Lytechinus pictus: one gene and its partners. The protein of the gene in region 1 interacts with the protein of each later gene in a pairwise test. Links are inferred from orthologs where the notes say so. Each region holds a gene or a part of one and is shown on either strand. Other genes may lie near its edges.

Evidence for each region.
Region 2: the proteins of proteasome subunit beta type-1-B-like (region 1) and translation initiation factor eIF2B subunit alpha-like interact in a two-hybrid assay, tested with the Caenorhabditis elegans proteins (2 studies listed by BioGRID). The link is inferred for Lytechinus pictus from reciprocal best matches to the Caenorhabditis elegans genes pbs-6 and eif-2Balpha.
Region 3: the proteins of proteasome subunit beta type-1-B-like (region 1) and actin-binding protein WASF2-like interact in a two-hybrid assay, tested with the Caenorhabditis elegans proteins (3 studies listed by BioGRID). The link is inferred for Lytechinus pictus from reciprocal best matches to the Caenorhabditis elegans genes pbs-6 and wve-1.

What each region holds. Positions count from the first base shown.
Region 1 is NC_087259.1:10,581,783-10,588,848, forward strand, and holds the start of proteasome subunit beta type-1-B-like, read right to left. Parts: upstream 3,012-7,066; 5' UTR 2,851-3,011; coding exon 2,771-2,850; intron 1-2,770. UniProt on the Caenorhabditis elegans protein: Non-catalytic component of the proteasome, a multicatalytic proteinase complex which is characterized by its ability to cleave peptides with Arg, Phe, Tyr, Leu, and Glu adjacent to the leaving group at neutral or slightly basic pH.
Region 2 is NC_087246.1:1,160,677-1,168,658, forward strand, and holds the start of translation initiation factor eIF2B subunit alpha-like, read right to left. Parts: upstream 3,001-7,982; 5' UTR 2,979-3,000; coding exon 2,903-2,978; intron 2,266-2,902; coding exon 2,126-2,265; intron 1,707-2,125; coding exon 1,590-1,706; intron 1-1,589.
Region 3 is NC_087257.1:21,056,209-21,064,121, reverse strand, and holds the start of actin-binding protein WASF2-like, read right to left. Parts: upstream 3,019-7,913; 5' UTR 2,765-3,018; intron 1-2,764.

The DNA of each region.
Region 1 (7,066 bases):
CTAGTGTGCAGCGCTAGTTGATATGTTTTGATAATCAGACCTGACAAGATATATATTTTTTTATAACTTTATGGAATGCATGAAGAGGATAGGTACTTGACAAATCAAATAATGCGAGCGCGCAGCGTGAGCTGTAAATGTTGATATTCAGATAATAAAACAGACATTTTACAAAGCACTTTTTTTCAAATTAATTGGCAAATCAAGCAAATTAATAAAAGATCAATGTCCATGTTGAAATACGTTTTGCTTATTGACTTAAAAACTTGATATTTTAAGCTCTACATGTATATCAGGCTTCTGAACAAGCTACATACATGTACGTATCATTCGAACAGGCAATTCGAGCGTGAAGCACGAGCGAAAATTTTATATGACATGAAAGATTTTTTTTTTTTTCCAAGTCTTCCCCTCATGTTATTTTATTCATTCATCTTCCATTCTTCCTCCTCTTTTTTCTTCTTCTCTCTTTTCCCTTCTTTTTTTTTTCTTTTTCTTTTGCTCCGCCAATAGGGGGGGGGGGGGCGGCCCCCTGGATCCGCCTATGCTAGCCCATTTACATGTACATGACTTAGGGCTAGAACTCTTATAGGGAAAGTAGAAATCACAGGGGCGAAAGTTTAATAAAAGCCCAGCCGCTACGGACAAGATATAGGCACATGCCCTGGCTCCATGGATCCGCCTATGCTAGCCCATTTACATGAACATGACTTAGGGCTAGAACTCTTATAGGGAAAGTTGAAATCACAGGGGCAAAAGTTTTAAAAAAGCCCAGCCACTACAGACAAGATATACATGTAGGCACATGCCCTGGCTCCATGGAGGTAAGCTCATGTTAGAGAATGATTTTTACTCTTTAGGAGCCTCCTGGTTAGGTGAATGGGATGATAGTAAGAATTCAGAAATTGTTGAATAAATCCCTGGAAACAATGGTTATTTCTGTCTTATACAAGAGATAAAAAAATAAACATCAAATGAAATGAATAGCAATTAGATGATTGTATGCAGTGTAGTGTATGTCCAGTCTCCAGTGCATTGTATACATGTACCGTATAGCCCCTATGGATTATAAAACTTTCTTTTATTTGATAAGATATATTTCTCTAAGGCAATATAGCTATAAAAGCTGCTTGCTACTTGCTAAGGAACAAAAAAAAACTGTTGCCACAATAAAACAAAAAATCACCCATTTACATGTATAGCCCACTCCTACTTTTAGACAGTTTCCTAGAGATATGATAAATGAATATTCTTTATATGAATTATTATTAAAAATCAATAGAATTGCACTAAAAACACTATAAAAATGTGTCATTACTCCTCATGATCCAGGTCCCCCCACTAAAATAAAACGGCAATTAACCCGATGATATTCATCTACCCCTCATTTCCCTCCTTTTCAGAACCACTCTGCTCTGCCACTTTTAGACACTTTTTCTAAAGATGATAAATGAACATTTTCGATAAGAATCATTAAAATCAATAAAAATCACATTAAAATACTTATTAACTGTCTAATTACTCCTCGTGATCCGAGTCCCCTTCCTGTGTAAAGACTGTCCAATTTCCCATAGGAGGGGACTTCACTGGATAACGAGGAATACTATTACTGAAACTCGTGATCCAAGTCCCCTCTCCTAAAATACAAAACGGCAATTAACAAGTTGATATTCATCTACCCCTCATTTTGCATTTCCCTCCTCTTCAAAACCACTCTGCCACTTCTGGAGAGTTTCCTACAGTCTTATAAATGAATATTCTCAATAATAAGTGTCTGCCTACTCCTTTTCTTTCATCCCCTTCACTAACCTGATTGGTCTTCTCTACTCACTAATGCCCCTTTTGTCTCCTTGTTTCTAGTGTTGCTGTAGCTTGTTTGTGGTCTATATTATGGTTGTTCCACTTTATATGTTTGTCATTTTGCCTCCGACGAAGATTCTGCTAGGATCGAAAGCTTAGGCCCCCTTTTTGACTTTCCAATAATAAGAAATTAAGAATCATTAAAATCAGTAAAAATCACATTAAAAAAAAAAACTATTTAACTGCCACTTTAGACAGTTTCTTAGAGATGATAAATGAATATCCTCGATAATAAGAATCATTAAAATCAATAAAAAATCACATTAAAAATACTATTTAGATCTAACTGCAAATTTCCCACAGGAGGGGACTCGGATGACGAGCATATCGTTATTCGAGTCCCCTCCTATGCTATGGGATCACGAGCAGTTAAAATTTAGTTTTTAGTGTGATTAATTTTGTTTTATTTCGTGTTTTTGTTTCAACTTGGAAGAATATTCAGGAGAAAAGAAAGAAGATTACTATTTTTTGTTGTTTGAAAAAGTGTCTGAGTCAGTTGTTATTGTGTCAATAGGAAAACGTGTGGTGGAAGAAAGCCCCTGTTCAGACTTCAGAAGCTTCACGCCGCAATTCGCAAACAATAGTCTAGATTTCTATTTAATAAAGACTTTGGTTTTGAAAACCTCTTTAAGAAGGCGTTATTCCAGAGAAAGATTGCTGATATTTTGATAAAGGTGTGTCTCAAGTTTGTCCCCAGTGACTTGGATGACGATAGAGCCAACTGCATTAGCGCAAATTTAGAGAGTAACCTAGCGTTCAGAATGTGAATTGTGAGCTGATCCTGGCTGCCATGAACGCGGCAGCTCCACCGCCTAGCTCCCTCCTTGGCGAGCGAGCCGCCGGAGCTGAGGCTAGGCGAGGAGGGACAGCGCTGCACAAACTGACAAAGTGGACAGACGAGTAACCTTACCCTCCATTGAATGTGTATGGATTGAATCTCTGTTGTTCCACCGGATGATAACTCGGGACGGTCTCGTGCATTCCCTGCATGATGTTGGCCTCCTTTTATTTTGGCACAAAATAATTCAACAAATAGTCTTTAAATATACAAATAAAACGATTATTTTTTTGGTCTCAATCTCAATTTTTGCCAGTCATGAGCTCCAAAAAGCGACCGAAACGACACTACCCAATTATGAAATGTAGATGGCGCTAGACCTCTTGTTTTGCAGTGCAAAAAGTCACCTTTTACAAAGTCTGTTTTTTATTTGTCGATTGATGATACTTTTTCTCTGCTTTTTTAATGTAAGAGAAATTGGGCAGTTAACTTCATTTCTAATAATTCTGAAAATTTGTAATCTCATTGATATTGATATATTTCTTTGTCTCGTATATATGTACAAAATCTTGATTTATACGAAGTGATTAACTTGATTTGAAAGAGGAAGAAAATAAAATATTATAAAAAAAAAAAATAGCTTGGTGCCGTGGCCGAGTGGTCTAAGGTACCCGACTACACAATGAAAGTCCGGGGTTCGATACCCGGTACGGCCCTTGACCGAGGCGTATTTCGATACATAACTCTTCTATCTTGCATCAAATAAATGAAAATGCTTTGTGAATGATTGATACCAACGTGTTTGCTTAAAAAAATAGCTTTGGTATTGGATTGAGGCCGGTGCAGGGTTTTTTACTCCAATACTTTTGTTTAATACTACAGTGACATGTATCTCTATTTTCAAGTGTCATCCTACAGCAGTTTATTAAAATTAATGACAATCACACAATATCTCGATAAAGGACAACATTATAATTCAATATAAAAAATGCAAAATGAAAGGCAAAAAAAAAAAGAATCAAATTATAGGCATATATATAAAGGGGCCGCGGAACGGTTTTGAATAAAACGTGCGTGGGGGGGGGGGGGGGGGGCTGACCATGCAAAAATCATAATCAGGTGGTAATTTTTTTCGTTTTTGTACACGGTTTTGGAAAAAAAGTGCGGGGGCTAGAGCCCCCTCCTGTCCCCCGGTTAAAATTAAAATGGTAACACATGAATAAACGTTTTTTACAAATTTTTATTTTAATTAAGCCTATATATAAATTACAATTAATTGGTAAATCTTTTGTATTTAATTTGTTCATATATTGTTCTGCTATTGTCATGGCTTGCAGTTGTGTGAGTGAGTGTGTGTGTGTGGGAGGGGGGGGGGGTCCCAAAAGTTCAAAGTAGGAAAAAGGGAACATAAAGGAAGAAGGTTCAGATGAAGTATTATTTTCTAAAAAATATTTCAAACTATATAGACCTATCGCAAAATTAGATTGTCATTTTAAAAGGACAAACATTTGCTCACTCGCTCACGACTTTTAAGAAATTTTGTTACACGTAAATTATGTTGCCCCCTCATTTTTTTTAGAGGGGGGGGGCTCATTACGCTATTGGCTGATGATACTATACCAGTTTATTGCGCTCTCGTATGAATTGTCTTATTCGTTCATCAAAGGAGGGGTTCACTCATAAGTTGGCGATAATTTAAAAGTTAAATGTTAGCGTCATGTCATGTGCGAGTAGCTCCCAATATATATAAATTTCAATTTTTAATGGCCCACGACTACTTCCTTCCTTCTCTTTCTTCAGTAAAAATAGAAGCCGATAGGCCTATGAAATGATATGTTGAACAATCGATTACTAGTACACACATTTGTAATGCGCAGGTAGCCATCATAAAAAGATGCTCATAAGGGGAGAATTAACTGCTCGCATATGACGTCACAAAATAAAAACAAACACAACAACAATAACAACAAAATAATAATAATTTCGTTATATCCTCTTATGGATTTTCGCTAAAACTTTTTAGGCATATGTTCCTCTCTTTTTTTGGCTTCTATTGAAATCAATTTAATGTAATTGTGAATTCCCCCTTTAATGAGCAAATGAGGAGATGTGGAAAATATTTTGTGTGAGAGGTTTTGCTTACACATGTGTTAGTATTTCTTTCAAATAGTATTTAGTATTTCTTTCAAATAGACTGTTTGTCTGTTTCGGAAGTAAAAAAGAGCATTTGAGTCAATTTCTTTAAGTTTCTTTCTTCAAATATACTTTTATAAAGTAGTAGGCCAAGTACAATTGGCGGTCTTGCAAATGAGGGAGCCAATTATGTCAAAGACTCACTAACTTATTTTTTTATTTTATTTTGTTATTTGATAAATAAAATATTTCCATTTCCCAACAGTATATAGGCCTATAATAAGAGACTGTTCTATTCCTCACATGCCTCATAAATAGTCGAATTTGAGATGTACTACCCTGTAAAATAAAATGTGTAACATCATCATCCTCATGTATAGAGTAAGACTAATCTAAAAAGGTCGAGTTGTAAAATGCCATAGCTCTATCATTTTCTTATTCCATTTGTCTTTCACAGTCATAATGAACGTTATCATAATTATTATCATATCGCCATTATATTCATGATCATCCCCGCCATTATCATCACAATTGGCGTACCGGCGAGGGGTTGGGGTATACCTAAATGATTTAAAAAGTGGTATAGTTTTGCTAAATCATTTGATTATAGACATCATGACTTTTATCTGCCCAATCTATTTTCCTGAATTTATCGTCGGACTGTACAATGATCGTATTAGGAAAACTTTCTGAAATAGCGGAACATCAAGTTTCAAACTGAGACCAATGGCTCTGGAAGCAGGGGTGCTGAACCATCCCCGAGACTTTTATGGAGGGTGCTGCGTGTGTTATTCTCATAGGTTGCACCCCACCACCACCACCACCACCACCATCATCATCATCCTCATCATCATCATCGTCATCATCGTCATCACCATCATCATGGATCACGTAACTTACACTATTAGTTTTCGGACTATTTGTGGAACATTTCAAGTACACCTACATAGGCCTAGGTGAATTTTGAATAAAAAAAAACCAACCACTGTTGCCATCATCAGAAAGAATGCCTACATGTAACACCATTGTTCTTGAAAGCTAGGGGCCACACTTTACAAGCTTTGCTTTTCAGTGGGCCACTCCATTTTTCCAACATATCTTGCATTTTGTTATTATCAATTTGGAAATATTATATTCTGTACCAGGTGTATATTCTGTATGTTTGGTTTATTTGAATATTTATGTCATTCATATTTTCTGATGTTATGTTTTATTTATTGTAATTATTGCATTATAAATTTTGTTGTAAAAATGAATAAATAAATGAATGAATGAAGTGATGTTGGAACTAACTCTTCCATGTACAAAAACGTTTTTGTGTTTTTTGAATGTACGTAGCCTCCCCAATTTCAAAACCGTTCTGCGGCCCTGTGTTGTATCACCATCCTCACTATCACCACCATCGTCATCATTATCCCACCATCATCATCACCATCGTTATTTTTTGTAATTTATCATATTCATTATCACCATCATCATCATCGCCGTCGTTATTTTGTAATTTATCATCTTCATTATCACCATCATCATCATCGCCGTCGTTATTTTGTAATTTATCATCTTCATTATCACCATCATCATCGCCGTCGTTTTGTAATTTAATATTCATCATCATCTTCTTCAACGTCATCTTAATCATCATCATCACCATCATTGTCACCCTCATTATCTTCATCATCACCGCCACCACCACCATCATCACCATCATCATCATCACCATCGTTATTTTTTGTAATTTATCATCTTCATTATCACCATCATCATCATCGCCGTCGTTTTGTAATTTAATATTCATCATCATCTTCTTCAACGTCATCTTAATCATCATCATCACCATCATTGTCACCCTCATTATCAGCATCATCACCGCCACCACCACCATCATCATCATCGCCGTCGTTATTTTGTAATTTATCATCTTCATTATCACCATCATCATCATCGCCGTCGTTATTTTGTAATTTATCATCTTCATTATCACCATGATCATCATCGCCGTCGTTATTTTGTAATTCATCATCTTCATTATCACCATCATCATCATCGCCGTCGTTTTGTAATTTATCATATTCATCATCATCTTCTTCAACGTCATCTTTATAATCATCATCATCACCATCATTGTCACCCTCATTATCTTCATCATCATCATCATTTTCATCCTCATTATCAGCATCATCACCGCCATGCACCACCACCACCACCATCATCATCATCACCATTATCATCATCACCATAACCACCACCATCATCAGCATTCCTTGACACAAAGATTTGCAAGAAATCACAAATTAT
Region 2 (7,982 bases), on another chromosome or scaffold:
ATGGTATTCACATTTAAAATGGCACACATAATCTCATAATAATAGTATACATGTAATACCCAATATTAATAAAGTGCTTTTCCCAAATGGCCAAAAGCGCTCTCAGTTTCAACTTAACAGACTGACCTCTTTTAAACTAAGCAGGATTTTTTTTTTTTCAGGAGCTACTTTTCACAACCTCCTGTCTAAATCTGCTATACTGTATTGTACAAACTTTGAACAACATTGCAGGGAATGGGGATTTTCCAGGGATCTTTTTTTTTCAAGGCTCTTTTGGTTATTTGGGGTCAAAATCACCCCTGTGCAATTTTTCCCTGCTACTAAAAAATCCTTGACAAGAGATTCTGCTTTAAACTTACATTTTTGGCATGAATACAGATACCAATCAACGCTGAAAGCCAAGAAATATTAACAAATTACTAAGAAACATCCCCAAAGTCGGAACATTCTTAAATTTCCTATAGAATACTACAGACAAATTTTCACAAAAATTGAACAAGAGTGTCGCTAAGGCGAGCACATAATACACCCGTCTGTATGTTCACGGAAACTGGAGTATTGGTCAAGCAAGAAAAGTGGAAGATGGCGACTTCACCTTTGACCTTCTGACCTCAAAATCAATAGAATTGCTAGGATCTATGCTAGTATCATACACACCAAACTATATGAGCCTAGGTTAAGTTCAACTAAAGTTATCGCGTTAACAAGGACTTCAGAAGGGTAAGATGAAAACGTGTCACTGTGATCTTGACCTTTGACCTTTTGACCTCGAAATCGATAGGCTTGCTGGGATCCATGCTAGTATCATACACACCAAATTATATGAGCCTAGGTTGAGTTAAACTGAAGTTATCAAGTTTACAAGGACTGCAGAAGGGTAAGATGAAAACATGTCACTGTGAGCTTGACCTTTGACCTTTTGACCTCAAAATCTATAAGCTTCCTGGGATCCATGCTAGTATCATACACACCAAATTATATGAGCCTAGGTTAAGTTAAACTGAAGTTATCGCGTTTACAACGACTGCAGAAGGGTACGATAAAAATACGTCACTGTGACCTCAAAATCAATAGGCTTCCTGGGATCCATGCTAGTATCATACATACCAAATCATATGAGCCTAGGTAAAGTTAAACCGAAATTATCGTGTTTACAAGGAAAAGTTAACGGACGGACGGACACCGAGCGTGATACCATATGTCCCGTCGAGATGGGCGTATAAAAACACTGGTTAAAATGGCAATTTTCTTTTCCCCAAAATATGTATATTCTGATCAAATACAATCTTTGGTAGGTATGTGACAATGAAGGATTTCAATGCTGCCATGGCTTTAAACAGCTCAAGAAATCTCAACTAATTCTTTTCTTTCTTGGATAATTTCACATGAACAAGGAATGGTATTCCATTGGACTCCTTACCAGCATGCTTCATGCCAATACCACAATACAATTAACAGTCTAATTTTCCTCCATGTGGGGAGCATTTCATCATCAATGATTTTCCCTGACAACTGTTATAAGCTACTGAAATCCTTGCATTTGATTGGCTCATAACAAATTAGGCAGTGAAAATCTTCCCAGAACTTACTGCTCCATCGGTGATGAATGGATGACCAAGCTTAGCAATCTTATCTCTTGACCCGGCTACAGTGTCTAGGTACATATTACCTCGGTTTACTAAGATCTTCTTGCATTCATTAAAATTCTGAAATGAAAATAAAAGATGATGGAAAGAGGAATAAACATAATGAATAAAAGACTTAAGAAAAGGACACAAAGCACATTTTTCAAGACTTGAGAGACTGCAGATCAAACAAACAAAGAAGACACATAAAATGGAAAGAATGAATCTAAAAAAATTTTGGTTTCCTCTGTAAGTTATAGATTAATTCAACACTGTAGACCATTCTTTACTTAAACCACAAATATAAATGACTACAAAAAATCAATAGGCTATCATTGAATAAGTCAGTACATTGGCATTACCAGGCAACCCCCAAAATACCCCCCCCCCATAAAAAAAAAAAAAAATGGCTGCTTCAGTGATACATTTTGAGAAAGCATATATGAGGCCTAAACAAAACAAAGAAACTATGATTCACAAGACAAAATGAAATAATACACCTTGTGATCTAAGGCTGCAAGAGTGATAAATCTTAGGAACAGCTCGCATCCTGATGATATAGCTGTTACTGAACTATCTGTTTCCATCAACCATCTGATACATTCCTTCAGCCCATCTCGAAGACCAGCTAATGTCTCAGCTGTATACATACATGTACAAACATAAACAAAACATATATTTAGTGGAAATACACCTTACTGATGTGACGTTTTGCCAATTTTTAATTGGTTTCTTCAGGCGAATGACAAACTCACTGAAGGGGAGACCCTTACAATGTTTGAGAATGAACCCATCCCCTTAGTGGGTTTGTCACTTTTTCTCTTGATCAAGTAGATAAAGTCTTATTTGTTCTTGTTCTGACTACAGATATTCTTTTTATATTTTATTCATCAAATGCCTTGGCCCAAAATTAAATTGAATTCTAAACTTTTTTTCCTAACAAAATAAAGTCTGTGCCTTTGTGGGCTACTTATAATTACTTTCAATCAACAGAGGGTCACAAAAATACATGCTAAATATTACAGTTTTTTAACACTCTGGTGAATAAAACAAACAATCTCTAAGATTATAAAGAAAACAAATGATCATAAATGAATGGATTTAGTATCATTTGTTATGAAAGTAATATTTCAGAGACTTTTTGGAGTGTGTGTTTTATGTTGCATAGACTCAACACAGGCACAGTGGTTGCAGACTGCAAGTACCAAGCACTCCTGATTAACATTTGTTTGTATACCTTTTAAAAAAAAATTAGTAAATAGTATAGGTAGTAGCACCTTGACTTAATTTCAGGTATTCAATCAGAGTGTTGATAGCAGCCACTGCAGCAGAGATGTCCTGGTTTGTAGACATGTACTCAGTGAAATACAGAATAGCATCTGCAAATGAGAAGAAAGAGTCAATATCAATGTCTTATATTTACCAACAAATTATGTTCCTGGTATTACTAGTAGTATTACATTTAATTTGCTTTGATTTTTTTTCTTAATGTTAATGCTGAAAATGATGGTCTTAACTACATGGCTCATTAGACACATGTACATCGCACTTGGTTTGTTAACTTACAATGTAGTATGTTCAATCTAACTCTAAAGAACCAGGCTTGATCACCGAGATGACAGAGAATCTCAACCAGCCTATACTCTTGCCTAAAGACACCAACTCCTAAAACTTATATCCTACTTTAAAGTTGTTGAGGCACTGGTTCCTGGTTTTTATGTTATCGGAAACTTTTACCCATTTCTCTATTAGAATATTTTAACCTGAATTGCAATATACATTCTTATCCTACGAGAAATGCAAATAATTTTCATCTTCCTAAAATAAGAACGTCACTGTCTCAACAATCCATCATTTATCAAGGTCCTGTAGTTTGGAATTCACTAACAGATGAAATACGCAATGCAAAAACACTTAATTTATTCAAAACACAGTTCAAAAGATACCTTCTTGAGAAATACAGTGGCTGAATGATGTATAGTTTATGTATAGCACTTGTATTATTATAATTATTGTAATATTATGTTAGGGCATGGCACTTTTTGATGTCTTGGTTCATTGTTTATGTGTATTTTTAAGTTATTTTGTTTGTTTTTAGAAATGTTTTTGCTATATCCCTGTTATTGCATTTTCTATGTCACCTTTTCGTTTTAATAATGGGTCGGCCTAATTATAAGGATTTTTTTCCTTTTTGGCTGCCACCCCTCAGTATGATTCTGAATCATAATGCAATTTTTAGACTGTCTTTTACACTGATTTGTAATACATGTATTTTAACTTTGTATTATATTTGTTTTTTATGTAAAGGTTTTACTGAGAGAATAAAACAATTTGAATTTGAATTTGAATTTGAATACCCTTCCTGTTGATAATTTTTTGACAATGACTAAAGCAAGGCTACTACTAGACTGATAAATCCAATGTTTTGGAGGAGTTTTTTTCAAAATTTTCTGAATTTTTTTGTCCTCCTCCTACACAGACAGATGATGGCCATTGCGCTCATAATGCAGCCTTCTACCATAGTCCATTTCCTTCAGGGTTGGTACTAGTTTGGTTGCTCGTCGCTGGACTTTCTCAACAGCCTTCAAGTCAGGAGCATATCGTAGGTACCATATTCCGTTCGCGTATTCCAGAATTGATGTCACAAGTGACCTGTACAACCTCTTGATGTTTTCTTTGTCTCTATGCAAGAAAGTGCGTCGAATCATAGCGAGCACACAATTTGCTTTCAAGACTGTGAATGATATGAATCAAATTTTCGCTAATATTCCTCAAATACTACTTAAGCGCTGATTTTTCTTCTCGTTGACGAACTATGGAGTTTAGATGTTGTTTGAAGGTTTCCATGGTGGCATGTACAATCGCTGATGTGGTTTACGGTACACCATGTGGAGTATTATAGAAACAGTGGATAGAAGAAGAAAAAGAAAAAGAAAACAGAAATGGATAGGCGAGAAAGTGGAAATTTGAGAGTAGAGTAATCTTTCTTGAATGTAGTCCTGAAAAGGACTGTAAACCAGAAGAGATTGATGAGTTGAAACAGCTTGACTAGTAGGATGGATGAGGTGCTGGCTTGAGTCGGCGAGTAGAGATGATGAGCAGAAGCAGTAGAGAGACTCGACGTTTCGGGCAGGTTGACTGTCCGTCTTCAGTTTACTCGCCGTTTCCCAATTTTTCGTCTCAAGAGGGTGCGCAATTCATATTCATATCAAAGACACTACAAGGGAAAGACTAGGCACCAAAATCATTTTACACTTAAATCGATGCAAAGCATTACGCGGAGTCTGCAAAGTGTCCAATCTTTCATTATAGAGCTGAATTAAGGTTGTGAATTGTATTAGCGCCACCATCGAGCTTCCTTTTATTTCCATGGTAGAGACATGTGAAGCCACTTTCCAGGCCGAGGTAGGCGAATTTGCTTGTTTAAGTCGTTTTATGTGCTTTTTATAGAAAAAAATAATAAAACAATTAAAAACGGATAGCCACTAACTCCAGTAACTGGAAAGAGCCCCAGTGAGTAGCGGAATGAGTTTCCGCCAACATTATTCCTGTTATGCAGCGATGTTAACCGACTACTAAAAAAAAAAAAAATTGTGTAATCACGTTTGTAACGCAAAGTTGATATAACATACTAATCTCGCAATAGATGTGAGTGGGCTACTACTATTAGTATTAGGCCAAATCCTTTTTAATTCTCTTTATTCAATCCTTCCTTTAATTTCTTTCTTTTTCTTTTCTTTTGATCTTTTTAATTGTTATCTCCATCTTTCCTTTATTTTGTTTCAAGATTGTGATCTGAGCTGAATTAGTCAGATCACTAAAATGGCCTTCTCTCCAACCATGAAGAAAGGACAGCAGACTAACCTTATTCTACAAATCTCACCATAAAAGGAAGCCGCTGTAAACATCCCTGAATATGTGTTGGAAGCACCAAGATCAGTAAGAGCCAACAACAGCCGATTGGTACCACTTCAATGTGGAACAAAAGCCTACCTCAATAGTTTTATACCAAATACAATAAAAGACTGAAACAATCTCCCACCAGAAATAAACTAGCACATCACTGATGTGGAGCTCATCCGGCATCTCGCAGCAAAATTTAACACAATTTTTAACTTCAGCCCAGTTGACACTGTAGTGAACTATATTGGTGACATGAATTGAGGAAACAGAATTGAAATTGGTGAACCTCATGAGGCTCTCAGATGGAACCAAAAAATCAAAATCTGTCAACAAATAAATAAGCATTTTTGTAAGTTTTGAAAAATATGCATAAATTAACATATCTAATGAGTTTCTAAGTTCTGTGTAGAAACTTAGTATGACCACCTAGAGCTGACATATATTTAAGCAAACAAATTTGAAATTGATCAACAAATGAAGGAGAAAAGGTATTTTTTGTGATTTATGAATAAATTTTGCATAAATTAGCATAAATAATCTTCTAGCCAAAATTTCAAAATTCTGTGTGGAAACTTGGTTACCCTCATGTAGCTCTACCAAATGGATGAAAAAAAAAATCAAAATTGGTCAACAATTAAAGAGGCATTTTCTATGATTTATGAATAAATTTCCAATAAATTAGCATGAATAATTTTATACTCGAAATTTTAAAATTCTGTTAAAAAGTTTGGTGAACCCCATGAAGCTCTACAAGATGGAAGAAAATAAAATAAAATAATAGACAGTTCTTGTATAGCGCATAACACATAATGAATAACATCTCTATGCGCTTCCAAAGGACTTGGATTATTACCCCAGCTGTAGCTCAAGCAGCTTTCATGCACTCGGCATTTCAAGGAATAAATTCCTGCCAGGTACCCATTCACCTCACCTGGGTTGAGTGCAGCACAATGTGGATTAATTTCTTGATGAAGGAAACCACGCCATGGCTGGGATTTGAAAAAAAATTCAAAATCGATAAACAAAGAAGAAGCATTTTATGTGAAGTTTTAAAAATACATTGTATGCATAAATTAGCATTAAAAAATTTTTTAGTCAAAATTTTAAAATTCTGTGTAGAAGTTTGGTGAAACTCATGAAGCTCTACCAGAAGAAAGCAAAAAATCAAAATCAGTCAACAAATAAAGAAGGAGGAGCATTTTTGTGAATTTTGAAAATTGTGCAAAATTTAGCATATATAATGAGTTTCAAAATTTTGTGTAGTAGTTTTGAATCCCCACCTAGTGCTATCATATATAGCAAACAGAATTGAAATTGGACTTGAAATGACGAAGAAGTATTTTGAAATTCGGTCAACAAATAAATAAGAGGCATTCTCTATGATTTATGAATAAATTTCGCAAAAAATGAGCATGAATACTTTTCTACTCGAAATTTCAAAATTCTGATCAGAAGTTTGGTGCACCTCATTCAGCTCTACAAGATGGAAGAAAAAAAAATCGGTCAACAAATAAAGAAGCATATTTTAATATGACATTTTAAAATATACATAAATTAATTTCGCATAAATTAGCATAAAAATATTTCTAGTCAAAATTTCGAAATTCTGTGTAAAAGCTTGGTGAACCTCATGAAGCTCTACCAGTCCAGATGGAAGCAAAAAAGATGTACCTCTCCTTCTTTCAAAATTCATAACAAAATGGCCGATCGAGACTGGGTTAGGAGAGGTATCGCGTGTGGTAAAATGTACCACAGTCTGGGGCACGCGCGACTGCTCCCTACATACATGTAGTACTGTGGGATGGGTTGGAGCAACTGCCTCCTTGGTTGGAGCATAGAATACACATGTACTATGGGCTAGAGGCTGTGTTGTGTGCACACAACAATAGACCCAAACCCCCAAGCCCTGTGCATTCATCCATGCTTGGGTGCACAACTCAGGTCTCAGCATAGCTGCATAGTCAGGCCAGCCAAGGGATCTGATCATCACTTGGAGAGTCGACCGGTGCGAGACAAGGACGTCTGTGTTTACACTTACTATACCTTCTGCTTCGCCCGTTCGCCCTTCGGGTTTCATCTAGTTGCGGCAATTATACATCACATCGGCAATTATACATCTACACCAAGAATACGTCACACCAGCAATATCCACAAGTTATTTAGGCCTGCTTTTTGGTTACCGTATCTTTATTTCAACGTGCCTTGCACCAACTTCCTACTGGTGAGTATATCTGTGAACCTTCCTCCTGTTAACCCCACTTTCCACTCTTTCCCTCACAGGATATATATACTAATACCCCAAAAATTACCACAGTGGCGCTTGCGAACCTTACTTTGCGCGAATTGGTATCCCATTGGATTTCAATTCATTTTCATTTTGATTTATTTTGAGTGTGTTTTGGGAGTGTTCTTCTTCCTTCATAAATTTTTGGAAGGGGGTAGATATTGGATATA
Region 3 (7,913 bases), on another chromosome or scaffold:
TCAAGTCCTTCAAGCACTCCACTCGGAAGGATGATTACTATATTCCTTGCCGTATGGGGTGTTAAATCTATGTATATTCAAGGGGTGGTTTTTCCAACGAGCTATACAGCTGCCCTGTGTATTCACACTATACACTTGAAATTATGACTGATCTTCAAAATCAAATTGACTCGCCAAAGTCACTTCTGATAGAAAAGCTTGCCCACGTAGGAGAGTGAAAATAGAATTCCAAAGCCCACGCACCATTTCCATCCAGGGGCACTGCAGGTGAAAAATATTTGCAAAACCACGGATTTTCATCATTTAGGCCAAATTTCATAGTTAATAGACAAATTGAATCGCTTGTTATTGGGTATGTATAGTTCAGTGTGAGGTCAACTTCATGCACAATGTCTGCTGATAAATATGGATAATTAAGTTCCAAATGAATAAAAGATCACTATTCTTCTAAGCATGCTTAGAAGTTTGTTTGGTTTTCTTTTAAAATGAAAGATAAATTTTATCTTATATTGGTATTCACAATCATGGTTATCGTCGTTAGTTTTATATTACTATCATTAACATAATTTATTGATGGGTATTTACATGCTTTTGATTTACATTCATCATCATTGTATCACTTATGCAATTATATCCATAGTTCTAAATGTCATTGCCATCATTATTTACAAGTGTTGTCAGTAATATTATTGAAATTGTTATTATCATTGTTACTAACTTTTATTATTATTATTACTATCATCATCATCGCCATATCATTATATTACCATTATAATCATCTTAATCACCACCGCCACCAATACTACCATTACAAACTTAAATGTTTTCATAGTTATACTCATCATCATCATCATCATTATCATTCATTACATCATTGTATAAACATGATACGTAGGCCTATGTAATAACAAAACAATCGGTAAGATCGAAGAATAAATTATACCACAGCATCATTAAGCTTGCTCTTTTATTTTCGTCATAAATAAGGAAATAAAACAAATTCAGAAGATGAACGTCAATTTTCTCACAGATCCACTGTCAAGTAAACGGAACCGCGTGGTTTTTGTCAAGCAACGGGACATGCTTTGAGGAAATGAAAAAGTCATGAATTCGGAGTGGAACTGACCTTTGGACGAAGGCAGAAATTATTATGATTATGATTAATATACCTAATTTCCACTGTCACGTTTTGCGCTATGATTGAAGCGGTGATCTTATTAATCTGGGAGTAATCGTAGTGAATATCAGATCAGTCGTGGCAATCGTATTGATTGAAGAAAAAAAGGAATGGTTCAAAAGTTTTCGCGATCAGTTACGAAAGGCCAATCGTCGCGTTCGTAACGGATCGCACGACACTGTGAACGAGGTTTTAATAAGTGTATCACCGATTCTTTTGGAATTGAGAGATGCAGGATGTTTTTAGGGTCTTGTGTTTCATTGAAATTATATGGCCTAATGAAATTTCCTTACGGTGTTATACTGCTTAAAAGTCTACACTCTCAGAAATTTGTCCAACCAACCCAAAGGTTGGTTGAAATATGAATTGATCAACTGTTGGAGAAAAAAATATCCTATTCATTTTGCACGCATTTTTTTAACCAATAGTCAGTCCATATTTGAACCAACTTATAGGTCGGTTTAAAAAAAAATCTGAGTGATATACACGACATTTTACTATGGTGTCAAATCCCTTAAAATGTGGCGGAAATCGAGAGGGGCAGACTTTTTCATCTGGTACACTTTTACCACTAGTATATAGGTGAGAGCGCGTGCAGTAATTACTTTAAGTATAAAGTTTTTTTGTATTTGACGGGGGTGTTAGTGGGGGTGTTAGGAAGAAAGGGTGCAGAAAATCTTGTTCTTGCTTCCGAATTCTTTATTCAATTCTTCTTATTCTTATTCTTCTTATTTTCATTATTATGATTCCTCCACCTCTTCTTATTTCCCTTATTTCTTTGCTTCTTCTTCCCCTTCTTCTTCTCTTTCTTCCCCGTCTGTTTCTTCTGCCTCCTTTTCTCCTTCTTCCTCTTTCTTTTCCTTTTCTTCCTCTTCTTCCTCTTCTCCTAATTCCTCTTCTTCATCTTCTTCTTCTTCTTCCCCGTCTGTTTCTTCTGCTTCCTTTTCTTAATCTTCTTCTTTCCCTTTCTTCTTCTTCTTCCTCTCCTTCTTCTTCCTCTTCTTCTAATTCCTCTTCTTCGTTCTTCTTCTTCGTCCTCTTCTCCCTCTCCTTCCTCTTCTTCTTATCCTTCCTCTTCTTCTTCTTCCCCTCCTCCCCTTCTGCTACATATTTACTCCTTATCAATTTCATGATTGGAATGTATCTATGTCAATACCGTAACAACTTAATCAAATAACTTATTCAAATAGTTTAGTAGATTTGGCTTTAATATTCACTTGTACTTCCTCATATGCTTTCCTACAGACAACTTCTTCAAAAGACTTCCCGCACCCCCCCCCCCCCACACACACACAACTAGCCTAATGTTATCCCTTAAGAAAAAACTGCTATGTCAGGTAGTTCTGACTCGGCATGGAACAATTATTTATGTACAGTTTTCCATAACAATGAATACTGTGAATGTTAAACTCTGCTCGATAATATTTCTTATTCTATCCACTAGCTATGTGCTATACACAATATTTCGAATGCAGATTATTGCATTTGAGCGTTATTTCATTAATATCAAGCCATTAATGTATGGTAAATGCATAGCAGTTCTAGTCTAATATCAGTGTAGTGGTTACACAAGCGCAATATACTTACCTGAACGTAGGATGGTCTTATGTTGACGAAAAAGGGCAATAGTAATCCATATATCCCGATCCCTCGTGCTTTAATGCGATGGTAAACTGACAATATTGAAAGATATTTCTACCTATTGCACTGGAACAACTCCTACATGATCGCTCCACACAACACTGTATATATCTGTATATCCGAAAGGACAAGTACAAGTTTGGGTTGTGTTTATATCGCACAGTTACTTCCTACTTTCAAAGTCTGATTGAGACATGAGAGTTAGGGGGGGCAATCTGTGGAATAACGATAAATTCCATTCATTTATGGCGGCTCTCTAAACCGTGAAACATAAAGGGAGTGTTCCGATTCTGAACTTTTGTCCTTTTTACGGTTTGTGATTTCAACCAAAACAGATCGGGTTGATTTATTCCATTATCACCCCCTTTTATTTAAGTTCCTGGGAGTTGTTCATAAAACTTGTTATCATACAGAACGCAGTTGCTGAAAACTATTATTCAGCTTTATACTGGCTGCCAAAGCAAATGTGTGATTGATTTAAAACTTATCATTAATCCGGAAATATTATTGGGCATTGGTATATAGGGGTCATGAAATATTCCATGACGAAATAAGGACGGAACAATCGTACACATAAAGTAAGGGATATCGGAGGGAATGGGAGACGTAAGTTCGCTTGTCTTCTATATCTTGGAGCAGCACTTCTATTGGAGGTAGAATTGAGACGTTTTCAAAAGATTGTTCTGTTATACTACGAATTTGGGTGAAAAATAAAGCAATATTATGCATAATATCCGTCAGTTCTGATTTGAGAATACAATAACAATCTACCCATGATTAGGCCCTAAATAGTTGCTTCGCTCCCACGCGTCTAACTCTTACCCCCCCCCCCCTTCCCAGGAACTTCGCTTGTCTTCTATATCTTGGAGCAGCACTTCCATTGGAGGTAGAATTGAGACGTTTTCAAAATATTGTTCTGTTATACTACGAATTTGGGTGAAAAATAAAGCAATATTATGCATAATATCCGTCAGTTCTGATTTGAAAATACAATAACAATCTACCCATGATTAGGCCCTATCTAGTTGCTTCGCTCCCACGCGTCTAACTCTAACCCCCCCCCCCCCCTTTCCCGGGAACTTCGCTTGTCTTCTCTATCTTAGAGCAGCACTTCCATTGGAAGTAGAATTGTAGACGTTTTTAAAAGATTGTTTTGTTATTACTACGAATTTGGGTGAAAAATAAAGCAATATATGCATAATATCCGTCAGTTCTGATTTGAAAATACAATAACAATCTACCCATGATTAGGCCCTATCTAGTTGCTTCGCTCCCACGCGTCTAACTCTAACCCCCCCCCCCCCCTTTCCCGGGAACTTCGCTTGTCTTCTCTATCTTAGAGCAGCACTTCCATTGGAGGTAGAATTGAGACGTTTTCAAAAGATTGTTCTGTTATACAACGAATTTGGGTGAAAAATAAAGCAATATATGCATAATATCCGTCAGTTCTGATTTGAAAATACAATAACAATCTACCCATGATTAGGCCCTATCTAGTTGCTTCGCTCCCTCGCGTCTAACTCTTACCCCCCCCCCCTTTTTTTTTCCGGGAACTTCCTGCGCAAAACTATGAAAGAATGAACATGGGCGGCTGAGCAAGATCCATTTCCAATATTATTGCCGGATTGGATGATAGAATTCGTATCAGGGATACGATTAACTTTAAAGGTCAAGTCCACCCCAGGCCGAAAAATGCTGACTTGAATAAATAGACAAAAATCAAACTAGCATAGTGCTGAAAATTTCATCAAAATCGGATGTAAAATAAGAAAGTTATGACATTTTTAAGTTTCGCTTATTTTTCACAAAACGGCACAACTCGGTGACTCAGTCGATGATGTCCATCACTCACTATTTCTTTTGTTTTGTATTGTTTGAATTATACAATATTTCATTTTTGCAGATTTGACAATAAGGACCAACTTGACTGAACCATATAAAATTAAACAATGCTAATGCCAAATGTTCAGGGAGGAATTAATCGTATCACTTGACAATGAGGAGAAAATTAGAATATTTCATATAATAAAATACAAAAGAAATAGTGAGTGGATGACGTCATAGTCTCCTCATTTGCATACCAGCCAGGATGTGCATATAACTGTTTGTGAAATTAAGCGAAACTTTGAAATGTCATAACTTTCCTATTTTACATCCGATTTTGATGAAATTTTCAGTGTTATGCTTGTTGGATTTTTCTCTTTTTATTCAAATCAACTTTTTTTTTTGGTTTGGGTGGACTTGTCCTTTAACTTTGCCTTACGTTTTGTATCACGCAAAATTACTAGATGACCCATATCTATTTCCTTTTATTATCCCCGTCCCGATTGCTACAATAATATTTATCAACGTATAGGCATGTAATAGGCCTTTATGTGTGGCATTCTACTATCCTTTCTGCTTTGGGAAAGCATTGGTTTTATTTGTTTAATTGTAATATATCCGTATTGTATAGTGCATCCATTATATCCTACAAAAGGAAACTACAAAATACGATCTTTGACTATGAAGACAGTGCGGTTGAATTGAACTTCGCTGTTGCTTCCTGCTATATGTCAATTTATACTTGATATCGTTTTCTCATTCCTTATGATGGGGTGGATCCAAAGGGGATTTTAAAAGGTACTTTCCCCTTTTATAGACTCTCCTTGAGCAGTGGCGTAACAGGCGGGGGGCAAGCTGCCCCCCTGGCGGATTTCACCGGGAAAATTAAAAAAAAAAGGGAAAAATCTTTTTTTTTAAGGAGGAAGAAAGAAAGGGAAAGGGGGAGGAAATGGGAAAAGGAAAGGGAAAAGTGAAAAGAAAATGAAGATTTTTTTTAATGGAAAAGGAAAAAAAGCGGGAAAATGTACGAAAGAAGAAGATTTGACAAACAACAAATCATTTCGAAATAGGCTTATGTAATGCAATAGCATGATGGGAAATAAATTAACAGATGACAAAATGGCAAACAATAGCGGGAAACGAAGGTAGAATGGAATGAGTCAAAAGCTAAATTAGAAAACAAAGAAAAGGGACAAGAAAAAATAATAACACGACCGGGCTGCCGAGGATTGAAAATAAAGAGCTGGAAGAAAGATGGACTGCATACAACATTGTGCTATAACTATAAGCTTGCTAAATTTTATGCAAATAACGTAATAGGGGCTCTTGATCTATGACCATAAAATGGCTCTATAACGCCCCCTTTCAATCACGTTCAATCACTGGCGTACAGGCGCGGGGGGTCTTGGTTCCACACCCAAGAGGAAATAAAATAAATTATAGGAGACAACGTATAATGAAATGAATGGAAGCAATGAAATGTGTTATTTGCTGAATATAATGGAAAAATCTATCACATACATTGTAATTAGAATTTAATTTCAATAGGCTTTTTTTTTTCCAGCTCGCTTTGCACGCTGGCGACTTTTAACAATTCAATTCAATTCACTTTACTCACATCCATTCAAAAGGTACAATATACAATAAACAATATTATATGAACAATACATAAACAAATCAATATAATGACAAATAGAAAGAGTAAAACCAACATGCAGTGGATGTAGGATGTAAATGTTCCCACATTGCTATGTTTTGCCCCCTCAAATATATTTGGTTCATTACGCAACTGGGTTATATTAATGTGTTGTGTAAAAGCTACATTCTGTATATACCCGCGAATTGATTGAAATAGCAGCAATCTGCGAGGTTTAAATGGCTTTGATATCAAGAAGTTCCGGGGGCTCCGCCCCGGACCCCAACCGCACAGCACTGCCGTATATGAGTATGGAAGGGTTGAGCCATTGGCCCCCAAAAGTTCTACAAACAAGAACAAACAAAAAGGAGGAAAGAGAAGCAAAGGAAAAGTGTAGGATATCATTTTATTTACGAATATAATTTCAAAAATATCTCAAAGTTAGAATCGCATAAAAAGTTGATTTTTTTCTCGCTCGCTTCGCTCGCTCGGGACTTATATTAAGCAGCTTTTTAGCACATGTGTCATACTGCGCCCCTCTTTTTTTTACTCTTCACGCTACTGCCGCAAAGAATCCTGTTCACAGTGGCGTACAGACCACAAAAAAAATGGAAAGAGAGTAAAGTGAAATATATTATTTTCTGGATATCATGTCAAAATCTATCACAAAATTTGATTTTTGTATTAAAAAGGTCAATTTTTTTGCTCGCTCGCAACTTTTTTTAAAAAGATAAATTCTGCCCGATACGCAATATCTGGCCCTCTCAAAATAGTCGCCTCATTACGCATGTTCATACCATGATATGACCGGGAAATTTTTGGCTCTTGCCCTCCCCTGGCCACTGACCCCTGTAACGCCGCTGTCCTTGAGACGAGGAATTGACGAAATTTTGACCATCTGAAAAGTTGTGATGATGATGGTGGTGATGATGATGGTGATGATAATGATGACGACGATGATGTTGTTGGTGGTGATGGTGTTGATGATTGGTTGTGGGGGTGGTAAAGGTGATGATGATGTAGAGATAGTGACATGGTAACAGTTTATAAACATTATTGCTATCATTTATATTAATGATCCATTAGTATTAATCGTTATCATTATTGTTATTCTCACCGACTGACCACAATCATCATCACCATCATCATAAAGATGATCATGATTGTTTCCTGTGATTGTGCGACTGACAAAGGGTTGATTTCGGGAGATACGATTTTTTTCTTTTTTGGTGTGCCTTTTTACCAGAGGAAGTATCTATCCCTTTTCTCCGTGCCCTTAATATTAAACTTGCTCCACTCTTCCTGTCTTGACAGAGGAGCTACATGTATATCGGTATGGTACCCATATTACGGGTATGAGCCCCACCCCCTACACATGACACACGCGACTACCCCCCCCCCCACAACCACGTAGTCTGACACCTTTTTAAACCCCTAATTGCAGATTGAAACTTTTAGTGTGTGGTGATAAATGCCAATTATCCATTTGGACTTTGATACGAGTGCATATACATAAGACACAATAGTACCATTAAAATCATGTCTACACAATGAAAAAATAGTTGTGGAATCGTCTCTGGTTTCTACCTTGGCCAGAAAGTGTGGTGTCTGATAGAAAGGGTTTACCGGTAAGGG